Linked DNA regions of Drosophila melanogaster. Changing the gene in region 1 together with any one later gene gives a genetic interaction. Each region holds a gene or a part of one and is shown on either strand. Other genes may lie near its edges.

Region 1 (6,870 bases):
CCACTTCGATAGCGTGGCGCAGAACTGCATCAACCTGCTCCTGCAGTTGCTTGACCATAGCAGGATCTAGACGAAAACGGCATGGTATGTCCGCCCGGAAAACACCCGATTCCAAAGCCTCCACATGACCACCCACATAGGTTTCCGAATCCAGTACGTGTCCCTCGTTGGAGAGCTTATTCAGCTCACTCTGATGCTTGTTGGGATACACAATCTGGGCATGGTAAGCCTCCACCATCAGCAACGTTTCACAGAGTGTGCCGGAACCCTTTCTTAGGATCTCATCGGGTTCCATGGGAATAATCGTATTTAGGGCGAAGATAAATGGATGCACATACTTCATGTACAGATAGTATGTGGCCACCGCATCGGATACAGAGTAATTGGCCAGCACTTGGGGCTGTTCCACGGCCATGCGGCACATATCCTCCGGATCGAGTTCCACAGGATCATAGCGTAATTTAGCCTTGGCCACCGCCTTTAAGCCTTGAGATCCAACAGGTAAATAAGAATCTCGTTTCACCCAACATAGGCAATCCATGTGTATGGCAGGGCGACTTAGATAATTGCCATCCCGTAGCTTGGAGAAGCCAATCTCTTGCTTCATGTCCAGATCGTACACTGCAGCACGCGTCTCCACGAAGGGCCAATCGAAGAAGTCGCCGTTGTATGTAACAATGATGTGGGGACGCACCTCCATGATGTGATCGAAGAAGCGCTGGAGCAGCTGCATCTCGTTCTCTTCGTTGAATACTATAAAGTTACCCTCGAATTCCGGCTTGGGAGTGTACTCAAAATCGTCCACATTGGATGATATAATCTCACGATTGGTTATCAGATAACCCTGACCATCGATCATGTACGAGATCATCATAACCTGATCCGTCTGGGCATCGGGAAACTTAAGGGGCAGCTTAGTGGTTTCTATATCAAAGGCCAGGACCACGGGCTCGGGTCTGTCCAGAATATCCGGTCGGCAGGTGATCGTAGGCAATTCCACGCCACTTCTGCACCTGATATTGTACCACTGTCCACAAAAGATGCGCAAATCGATGGACACTCTGACGTGGTAAGGCACATCATGCTCCCTTATGTCCACAATACAATCCATGTAATCCTGCTGCCTCTTACCCAATGTGGCATCCTCGGAACCTGCGGAGGATTGGGCCAGCGAGGTGGCCAGCATTTGCATGTAGTATGTGTTGGATTTCTGTCGCTCCTGATTTCTCTTCACCGCGGACATGAGTTCCCTTCTAACCTTGGTCATGGCTGTCTGATTGAGAAACGAAAGTTTTATGTACTGCTGCTGCAAACCGGATAGATGATTGGGCAGATCCAAATCTTCTTTGGTTATGTGCTCCAGTCCAGAAATCTGGCCGGAATACTTGCGACCCAGAAATCGCGCCACTTCCAGATGCATATTATCCTCTGGTCGGATGAGTAAATATGGCTGATAGGCCACCGTGCATTTGAAGCGGGAACCATCCATTTGGATGAAGAACAGGTCCAAGGCAGCAATCAATCTTCTGTCCTCATCCAAAACTTCGTTCTGCAATTGGCATAGCCATTATTGGACATGATTTTCAACGTTTTATGGGCTTCCTAACTTACCGAATGCATGTTGATGAGGTAGCCCGTCCGCTCCTGGCTGTCCTTAACCCGATCGAAGCCATATTTCGAGTCGATTTTATCGTTCTCCCGGGATTGACGATAGCCCGCCTCATTGAAGAAGTCGTCGCTGTGGATAAGATTGGAAAATATCTTGTTCAGCGTGAAATTCACGAACTTTGACCACTCACCCTTCTGTGCGATTCTCGCTGACGAATTTACCCGTATTTTGCAGCACTTTGCCTTTGCTGGAGTCGGACATTTCCGTGCTGTTTAGCAGAAATAAAATAAATAAATGTAAATAACTTGTTGCCGCCAAAAATCTGCAAACGTCTCAGAAATGTGCTAACGCGTTGCAGAGAATGCTGACATTTAGCTGTTGCACAGCACTGTAAAGTAACACGTTTGGCGCCAATTTCAAAATGTTACTACAAATAAAAGAAAACAAGAAAATTATTAAATGGTTTTAAGAATATAAGTTTTACCTAGAAATCCTCAATTATTCTTAGCTTTGTAGTTCCACCTAACACAAATTAAAAAAATAATGCTTAAAATCTGATGAAATCATAAAATATAATATTTATGTTTATTTCATCACAGCTTGACCATTTTAGCTATAATTTTCCTGTAATGGGCATTAAATGCCCTATTTGCTGACAATTTAAGGACAGCTGCTGGCCAATTGAGTTGGCCTGTTGGCCATGTGTTTTCCAACTGCTGAAATGTGAAGTTTTTTCTACTAGTTCTCCGCTGCAATGGCATCATGCAGTCACGCACACAGGCGCATTCATTCATAAAAATCCGGCTCACCTACACGAGTTGTAAGATTCCAGCGCAGTGGAGAGAGGGAGAGAGAGTGGGAGAGCGGCGCGCATGCGCTCTTTGAGTTCTTTTTTTTCGCTTGCTGCACTTGTCGCCCCCTTTTATGTTTTTCAGTTTTACCTCTGCGGCAGCAATTAAGTTGCAGCAGAGGTTGACAATCAGCCATATTTTTATTGCACGTGTTTCGTTATGCAAGGCTGGTTAAGTTTTTTTTTTTTATGTGTACATATACGCTCCCTTGGCCGGGAAAATCGGGAACGCCATCAAGTTTTGTTATCCCGAATCTTATTGCCCTTTTTCTGGGTGCAGCTGGCCATTTGACTGCCGCCCCTGCACTTGCATTCACTTATGCTGTGTAATTTGTAATTTATGCGAAATGCGTTGCCGGAATATAAAAACATTGCAGTCGTTTCAGTTCCATATCGCCGCTCTCTGTCGCACACACTCTCCGCACACATAAACCTGTTTGTGTTTTTGATTTGCGCGAAAGAGAGAGAGAGAGAGAGCCTTTCGAACGCACAGTGGTTGTCATGGTCACGGTGGGAAAATATCGCGCTTAACTTTTTTTGGGGTGTCCAAAAGTATTTTCCCAAGCTGCAGCTTTCCCACATTGTGTGCAAACTTTAATAATGATAATAATAAGTTGATAATTTAATCTCACATCAAAATTTTCATATAGGTATTATTTCATATTAAATAAATATTTTATTAATTATTATAACAAAGAAACTAGTATAATTTTCCTTTTAAATAAGCTGGAACTGATATTTTGACCAATTTACTTTATTTGTCAAAAATATAGATTTGTATAAAATCCAGAATCAAAATAAATAAATTTTTATATCAGTGTACACAATTGAAAGACTGAGACTGCCAAATTTTAAAATATTTGTCTTTATTATTCCGCCCCCTTTGCATACTAAATATTTTAAATATACTAGTGATTTTGGGCACTGTTTAAATGCTTGCCAAAAACGATCGCCCGCACACACACACACACACACATACACGCACCCACACACTCTCTCGCATATTCGCACTTACACTGAGTTCTGAGCAAGCAGATTTTTTTTATAAATTGTTGCTATTTTTTTGTCGCTGCAAACACTTTGTTTTTGCTGCTCGAAATATGTAATTCTGATTTCCATTTTTTTCTTGCGCTCATGATGCACGCTCTAGTGCGAGTGCGAAAGAGATAGCGAGATTGAGGATCACCCACGCCTTTTCGTTTTCATTCCAGCGATCAAGTAAAATAGCGAATAATGTTTATAAGTCAGATTGATATAACTCTCGATTTTCATATTATTTGCCATTTTTGTTATCACTTGCCAGAGCAACACAAAAAAATATTAATCTTAGCAGCGGAGAGAAAGAGAGAGAGAAACGGAGAGAGAAGGTGCGTCGGCGTTGGCGTCAACGCTGCGTCTGCGCCAACGTCGGCGTCGCTGCCGCCTGTTGCCAGTCGGTCAGTCTGTTTTTGTCTTTCTTTCGGGAAGCGTGCACTTGCGCTACGGTAAATTCGATTTGAATGAATTATACGAATCAAATAACAAATAAATAACAAATGCAAAACACTTTGCAAGCCAAGCAAAAACCCAGTGTGTAAGTGAATGAGTGCAATAGCAAAACATCTAAAGATCTGCGCGCGCAATATACATCAAAAAAAGGAAGGCAAACAGCAACAGAAAAAAAAACGCGGTTCAGAAACACAGGAAACCAATTTCTATATACGAAATTCATCATAAAACCACAAAAATCTCCTCAAACATCGCGTGAGAGTGCCTGAGTGTGAGTGTGCGCGCGCGTGTGTGTGTTTGCCAGCGATCCGTCGGCCTTTTTTCGGTTTGTTTCTTTTCGCGTCTTATAAGCCGAGCTAAACCGATCCCCGATTTCTTCTCGAGTTGTTCCTTTCGGTTTTTCGTTTGTCTTTGTGCCCGGCACGTAATCCCTCTCTCTCTCCCCCTAATCAACCTGCTGATCCCACCGGAGGGTTAAAACATACACATCTATACAGCGTGATAGAGAGAGAGAACGAGCAAGAGATAGTCATCGGTGCTGCGGAGTCCATCAAGATTGTGCGCCTAATTTGAAGCTGTAATTAATTTGGATACCCTAATAAAAAGCCAACCGAAAGACGGTCTTTAGAATCCAGAACCCACAAACCAAAAATCAAGAGCCCAGTAGCCCCCGCCTTCTTGTTCACGAAGGGGCGCTATTTTATTACCCCGCACCGGTAAGAAAAGTGAAGTGTTGAAAAACAGTAGTTCAAGTATTAGTTTTTGTTATTTTCCCTACACTCGAAACAAAAATCCAGCGAAAATTAAAAGACAAAACAATTGAAAACAAATAATAAACCATATATCTCTTAATTGCTGTTGATATATAGTTTTGAAATATAACTTTTAAATCATATTTATCTTAAAAATATGAAATTTAGAGAGTTTCTTTTGAGTGCATGTAAACCCTTTTTGTGTTGGTGTTGCCTGTTTTCTTGAATGAATCTAGGAGAAAACTGGTTTGGCTACCGCTCGGTAGATCCGCCGATCTCGCGATCTCGCCTCGATTCAGGATTGCTGCCTCTATAAACTCGTTGTTGGCCAGGCCAACAGAATTTGAATTGGTTTTCTACTCGGCATCATAGCCAAGCTAGTTAGCCGCCAGTGTGCGTGAGTGTGTGTGTGTGGGGCACTTCCACAACCCTTGTGGGAAACACGCTCGAAATTACTACTGTTCCTTTTACAGCTTCCGGTGCGGCAAATGAGCTTCGCCTGCCCCACGATCGCGTTTCGGGCCATCAATCCAAGGGGTTTGGTAATCGAGAATGTGTGAACGGTTTTTGGTTAGGGTCAAGAATCTAGCACAGCGATCGCATTAGACAATTAAGTATCAATAAAACTGATACCGGAGTGCTACTCTTTTGACCTTTCGGTTTTAAAGTATGTATAATTGGGGCTTTCCTGTTCTGCACTTTGGGTTACCTGAAAGGGTTTTTAAAAGGATCTTACAATTTGGGATGTAAATTAAAGTAATTATTAATACAAAAAAGATCAAAGGATAGTTAAAGGCTTAACCGATATCATATTTTATAAAAATGTTACCATTAAAATGATTAATTTTACAATAAGATTTTGCTTAGATCAATTGTTATTATTTCTATGATAAAACTTGATTTACGTCCTTATCGCAGTCTTAAAGCCAAAAAACGATAATTTAAGGAGTTACGATCATTGAACTACTCTAAAGACATGTTTAATATCCCTTGGGCTATTTAAAAAAAACCAATTTGCGAGCAAAATACACAAGGGAATGATAAGAAATTATTGCCATAATCGATAATTTGATGTGTGACGATCGTCGGATCATAATTGAGCCCAGCTACCGCCAACCGCTCCTCTCCCTTTCCCTCCTCGAGCGTCTGGTCCGAAATGAAAGACCAGTTCAAGATCCTTTTCCATAAATACCCACAGACAATTACAGTTCAGTGGATGTTCGACGGGCTGGTTCGTTGCCCCATGCCACGTTAAACTCGGATTCTGTGCCCGGACCGATGCTAAAAGTATCAACCTGCTGCAGACAGGCCGAGATCAAGATCGATCCCATGACAAGACAAGACGACACACTCGCACAGATATGCCACACACACAGATACTCCGCACACATAGATATTCCGCACACACATGCAGTTCGGACTGTTCTGCGACAGATAGAACAACACATGTGTACACAGGCAGGCATCCCGAGGATCATCAGCGGATCGGAGATCCCTTCTTTACATTCAGCGCGAGGAAAAAAGGGCCAGGCGCTGGGAAAGAAAAGAGCAGCGACTAAATGTGTATTCTACCGTTACGTACACATCGAAAAATTGCACCCCTATTTGTTGCCGCTGCTGGTGTTTTAGTTGTTGCTGTCGTTGTCGTCTGGCCGAGGAGTGCGCACCATATCAAAAGATCATATTCGTTTACAATCTGTTCTTTAAGCATCTGCTGCGCCCAGACTCTCCTCCAGACATCAAAAACTCGGACTGCCAGACATCTTCCACTCGTTTGGTCCACTTACTATGGGCCAACCCAAAAAATTTTGCTCTTTTCCAGGGAAAACATATGCTCCGATTTTCGTTTCAATTCGATTCGTGTGGTTTTTTGTTGTCGCCCTCGCTCTCCCTCATACATACGTATATATAATATTTTATTTTATTTTATTTTTTTTTTTCGGTTCGGTTATCTACGTGTCGGGGCGATAAGGTTTTTTGTTCAGATAGTTTTAGCGATTGCGACTCGTTTTTGGCACCCTGCCGAATGATTTTTGGTGCTCGAAATGCTGCGATTTGAAGGCGGTTTTTGAAAAATGTGCCACTTTCAAACTTACGCATTTGTTCCTCGATTTTCCCTCTGGACTTATCTGCATTTGAGGAATTTATTTTCATATGAATGATTGATTGGT
Region 2 (5,235 bases), on another chromosome or scaffold:
TTCGGTCCTATGTCTCTGTCTTATGTCTTTGTCTTTATTTTTTGGTTTTTTCAGTGCCAAATTCTGGGCTTACTTCATTTAAATATTATATTTTATAACCAATTCGTTTTTAACTTAATATACTAAACTAAACTTCTCTCAGTGCTGACATTGCTGGCCGAGTGCAATTATTTTAAGCATTCAATTGGCATTGGCAGTTCGAACTCGAATCGACCGCAGACCGCAGGATATACGACTGGGCTGGCAATTATATGCATTTAAGTGCAATAACCGTCATCAGGACGAAGGACTCGGTTGACTTTTCCTCGCATTTGATGCTCCGGCAGACGCTAATTATTTTAATGCGCTCCGCAATTGAAGCGCGCGCTTCAGTCCGCTTTACCCCCGCCCCCGGCGCCCTAATTTCCCCGCCACTAATGACCTTCGCAGGTCACCTGACCTTTTCCCCCTTCCGCTCATGGTTCTCTCCAGGTTGGTTCAGTTCCTCGACCGGAATCAATATCAATCAAACGGAAACCGCCGCTCTCGACAAATTGCATTTGTTCATCCCGCTCCGCTTCCCTTCCTGCAATTAGTCCTGGACTAACATGTGGCCACCGAAACAACCCAAAGGTGAGCCTAACCACCGGGCTATTGGCGTGAAATTTTAATTGCCATCTTGTTGTCTGAGAGCGTGGAATCGAAAAAAGCGACGCCCAAATGTCGGGCGTATAAGGTTTTTCGACTCAAAAATCGAACAATTTGGTGTTAATTGAAGTTCTAATATATAAAGCAAACACATTTAAGGAGCTCTTAAAATATGTCAAGCCAAATGGGACTAAGATTATTTTTAATAAATCAATGATAAAACATGATTGATAAAATTGTTTACTGGCTTGACGTTATTCGCAGATTTCTAAGCGAATATATATAAAAGTATTATAATATTCTTATGTGATGGGAAAGACAGATGTTTTGACATTTCGGAATTGAAAAGTTTTGGTAATTTATGTCTTAATGGTCTAATTGTTAAAGCAGTGAACATAAAGCAGAGTTAATATTTTTGGAATAATATTTTGTTCACAAAGAAGAGTACTCTTCACATAGTAATGCAGTAGCATCGTCTCCATCTCTCAGATCCAACTAACTTCCTCGTAGCGCCATTTTAGGCCTTTTTCAAGGCCCTGAAGAGCTCAAGAGCGTTTGACCGACATTTGGTGCTATAAAAACCGAGAAACCGGGGAGAGACTTTATTTCACCACGCCGTGGTGGATTCACCACGGTGCCGGCAACATGGCGCTGCGCGAGAGAGTGACAGCCGATGAGACGGCGAGAGCCGTGGAAGCGAGAGGCAGCGAAAGCGAGCGACTGGCCATCCCCCTCCGGCCTTCGGTAGCATATGCGGCCCAACCACCGCCTATGACAAAGTGGCAAAATTGTTGCCACAGCCGCCGCTCGAGCCTCAGCCGCAGTCGGCGTCGGCAGCAGCGTTGGCAGCGGCGGATCGGGCAGGTGCGTTTCATAAACGTTCAGTCTCGTTTTGGCAGCCAAGCCGCTCACGACGTCGCTGGGTGAAAAGTTGAGATAAGGCCAAGAAAACAAAAAAACAAACAAATAGAAGACAACTTGACATCTATAGGAAACTCCAGTGAATGTGAATTTTTTTAGTGAAGTGTTGAAAGCAAATATAATTCGTATAAATAATCGGCAAGAAAAGGGAGAAAGAGTGAAACCCCCTAAGTCCTATGAAAGACTCGATGAGCATACTCACCCAAACGCCCAGCGAGCCAAACGCAGCGCATCCCCAGCTGCACCACCACCTCAGTACGCTGCAGCAGCAGCACCACCAGCACCACCTCCACTACGGCCTGCAGCCACCGGCGGTGGCTCACAGCATCCATAGCACCACCACCATGTCCTCCGGCGGCAGCACCACCACCGCCTCGGGCATCGGTAAGCCCAATCGGTCCCGCTTCATGATCAACGACATTCTGGCGGGCAGTGCGGCGGCCGCTTTCTACAAGCAGCAGCAGCATCACCAGCAGTTGCACCACCACAACAACAACAACAATTCGGGCTCCAGCGGCGGCAGCAGTCCCGCTCACAGCAACAACAACAACAACATTAATGGCGATAACTGTGAGGCATCCAATGTTGCTGGCGTCGGTGTGCTGCCATCTGCCCTGCACCACCCACAACCACATCCGCCCACGCATCCGCACACACATCCGCATGCGCTAATGCATCCGCACGGCAAGCTGGGGCACTTTCCACCCACCGCCGGCGGCAATGGGTTAAACGTGGCTCAATATGCGGCGGCCATGCAACAGCACTATGCCGCTGCTGCTGCCGCGGCTGCTGCGCGCAACAATGCAGCTGCTGCTGCAGCCGCCGCTGCTGCCGCTGCAGCTGCTGGTGTAGCCGCACCACCCGTCGACGGGGGAGTGGATGGCGGGGTGGGGCTGGCGCCACCGGCGGGCGGCGATCTGGACGACAGCAGCGATTACCACGAGGAGAACGAGGACTGCGACAGCGGCAACATGGACGATCACAGCGTTTGTAGCAATGGTGAGGTGAGCCTCTGTACTATGCGGGGGGTGGGGTGTTGGCGGCATTAGAGGGTGGTGGGTCAGTATAGCATTCTCGCTAATTCTCGAAAATGCATTTTCAAGCAGGAATTTTCTTCATTCAAAACAAGTTCGCAATGTTTTATAAACAAATATTGGGTCGAAATAGAACCAATTATCAACAAATCTGATTAATGTTGAGCCTTATGATAAAAAATATTCAATATTCAAATTATCCAAGTCATTTTAAAATAAAGCTATCACTGCCTGGTGCTAAGCTTATAAAGTACATATCAGATATTTTTACAACTCTACGACCACTTGCCTTTTTTTTTAAACAGTTGTCCAGATTGTTTTGTAAAGCTAGACACAAAACATGCAGATCTGATAAGTTTAATATTTTTTAATTTGAACGCAAATTTTTTATTAATGATATTGATATTGCGTTTTAGTAACATATTCCCTTTAGGTGATATTAAATATATTTGCACTTAACCAATTCTCAAATGTAGTGAGTGTAAAGGCAGTCGTAAAATAAAATTACTCAAATTCCCCTTTAAATCGTGTTAATGGTTCTGTTGTGAAACGCATTTCATCATAGCCAATTGAAAAAGTAATTCAATTAGGTAAAAAATAAGTAAGTCCGTTGTGCAGCAGTCAAGTTCGTTGCCTAAGTCTTTTGTATTGAAGCGTGCGCCTGAAATGGGGGCTAAAGTGTGGAGCGCGGGGGTGGGGCGGCGGCCCTCGTCGATGTCGCTTTGCAAAACAAACTGTAAAAATTATTGCATGACCATTTTACATTCTCGTTCTTGTTGCTTCTATTTGTTGTGGTTTTAGTTGAAAAAAAAAAATACTTTTTCACGCTTTGTTTCCGTCATTGCGAAGCTTCTAAAGTCCCCTTGCCTCCTCGCCCCTCCTCAAACTTGGGGGCATGCACCTGCGAATCTGAGAGCTATTATGGCAGAATGGAGGCGTGGCTCGCAGTGGGCGGGGGGTTGGCGGAAGAAGAGGATCTGCCTGAAATGCAACAACAAAATGCAGTTTAAAACTGCCGCAGCCGCAGAAAAAATCTCAAATAATTACACACATCGCACTCACTGTTCCCCGCTTCGCCGCTCGCTCTGCTTCCTCCTCCTATCTCACGCACCTGCCCCCTTCGCAATCATTTAATTGTGGAAATTGTTATAAAAATGCATTTAACCCGCTTTAATAGACGCCCCATGGCAATGGCAGCCGGGCAGCAGCAAACGAAAAAATGTTGCAGTCTGTTTGCTCATCTCATCGCCACTCGGTTCGTTTTACTTCGCTTTTGGCCAGCTTCTCATGCGCTCCACTCCATCTGGGCCCTGTTTTGTGCCATTTATTGCCGCAATTTCCTGTTGCCAATTGCACTTTTATAAACGGTAGTCGCGTCGGCCAGCTCTTTTGGGATGACAGCCAGCGGGCAGGGAAGGCGGCAATCCGTCAATTCATTGGAATTTCACAATTGCGATCAGCTTCAGTTACAAAAAAACCAAAATGAATATTGATCACTAGATTTTATTTATAAATTTAATGAAAAATCATAATTATAATAATAAAATCAGATAGGAAAGTTAACTTTTAAAGCTTATATTTGAATTATAAATTTGTAAAAAAAAAAACAAATTAGGTTTTTTTTTAACAACACTGTCGCCCAATTTTATTTGGCACATAATTCTTGATTTTTGGTTTTGCCTTTTTTTTAACGCTCCACAAATTATCGCCCGCAAATCGATAATTCAGCAAGTCGGCGCCAACATTCGTGAGTAATTTTCTTTAATTGCAAATTAATTTTATTCAATTGCGGCATTATCGCTCATTTATCGCTGCCATTAATCATTTATCGTTTACGTTTTATATGGTAAACAACTTTCGCCTTGGCGGCAAAATAAGCTCTTGATTAGCGATGATTAATAGAAATAATTAGCAATGCATCTTTATTTGCTTCATATTTCAAAGTTCAATTAGAGGCATAGCTGGATTTTCAATAAATAAAATAATATTGACTTCTTGGTATCTCATTATCAATAACAAAGATTGAGTCCACTTATTTAATGGATCGTGCAAAATTAAAATCTTGAAAAGATTTTATTATTGTTTGTCTGCTTCCTGATAAATTTATATGCTTAAAACAACAAAAATATGCTAAGATTGTTAATTTCCCCGTTTCTAGGCCTTATTAGACCAAATTTAAATGCGGCACTTGGCAAGTTTTCGCTTTAAATAATTTAACGCTTGAGAGTTTACTTAGCCCGCGTCAACCCCTTAACCCCCTCGTGCCCATGGGCCAAAAACTCGCTCTCGCTTATCGGGTAACCACCATCGGTTGAATTTACATAAATTTTATGTACTAAATGGCTGGCCAGAAAAGGTGGAAAAGCGGCCTTTTCTGGCCAAGAACACTTTTCGCAAAAAGGGGTGCTTTGGCCTGGTCAGCTTGCCTATCTCTCTTGCGGCTTTTTGTGGCAAGTTTAGACATTTTGCGGCACGTTTTTATTACACTCACACACACACGAACCGCTTTGTGAGCGGAAGCGGCAATTGCGTGGCCATAAACGAGCCTCTAACTGTATCTGCAACTGTTTTAATAGATCGCACAGAGATCTAAATCGAATTAGCCTTATGGGCATACCAAATCACCAACAAATAGTGATTTTCGGTAAACCAT

What was found. Genes that interact genetically often act in the same process or in processes that back each other up.
Region 2: of pnt (region 1) and B-H1, changing one suppresses a phenotype caused by changing the other (phenotypic suppression), as found in Drosophila melanogaster (one study listed by BioGRID).

The regions. Positions count from the first base shown.
Region 1 is NT_033777.3:23,343,191-23,350,060, reverse strand, and holds the start of pnt (pointed), read left to right. Parts: upstream 1-3,893; 5' UTR 3,894-4,663; intron 4,664-6,870. Other genes in the region: PolE1 (DNA polymerase epsilon subunit 1), read right to left, coding at 1-1,549, 1,612-1,738, 1,800-1,870.
Region 2 is NC_004354.4:17,395,970-17,401,204, forward strand, and holds the start of B-H1 (BarH1), read left to right. Parts: upstream 1-1,508; 5' UTR 1,509-1,724; coding exon 1,725-2,547; coding exon of another isoform or gene 2,548-2,552; intron 2,553-5,235. UniProt on the Drosophila melanogaster protein: B-H1 and B-H2 are regulated by members of the wg signaling pathway; wg and dpp. B-H1 and B-H2 are coexpressed and functionally required in R1 and R6 receptor cells and primary pigment cells for normal eye development.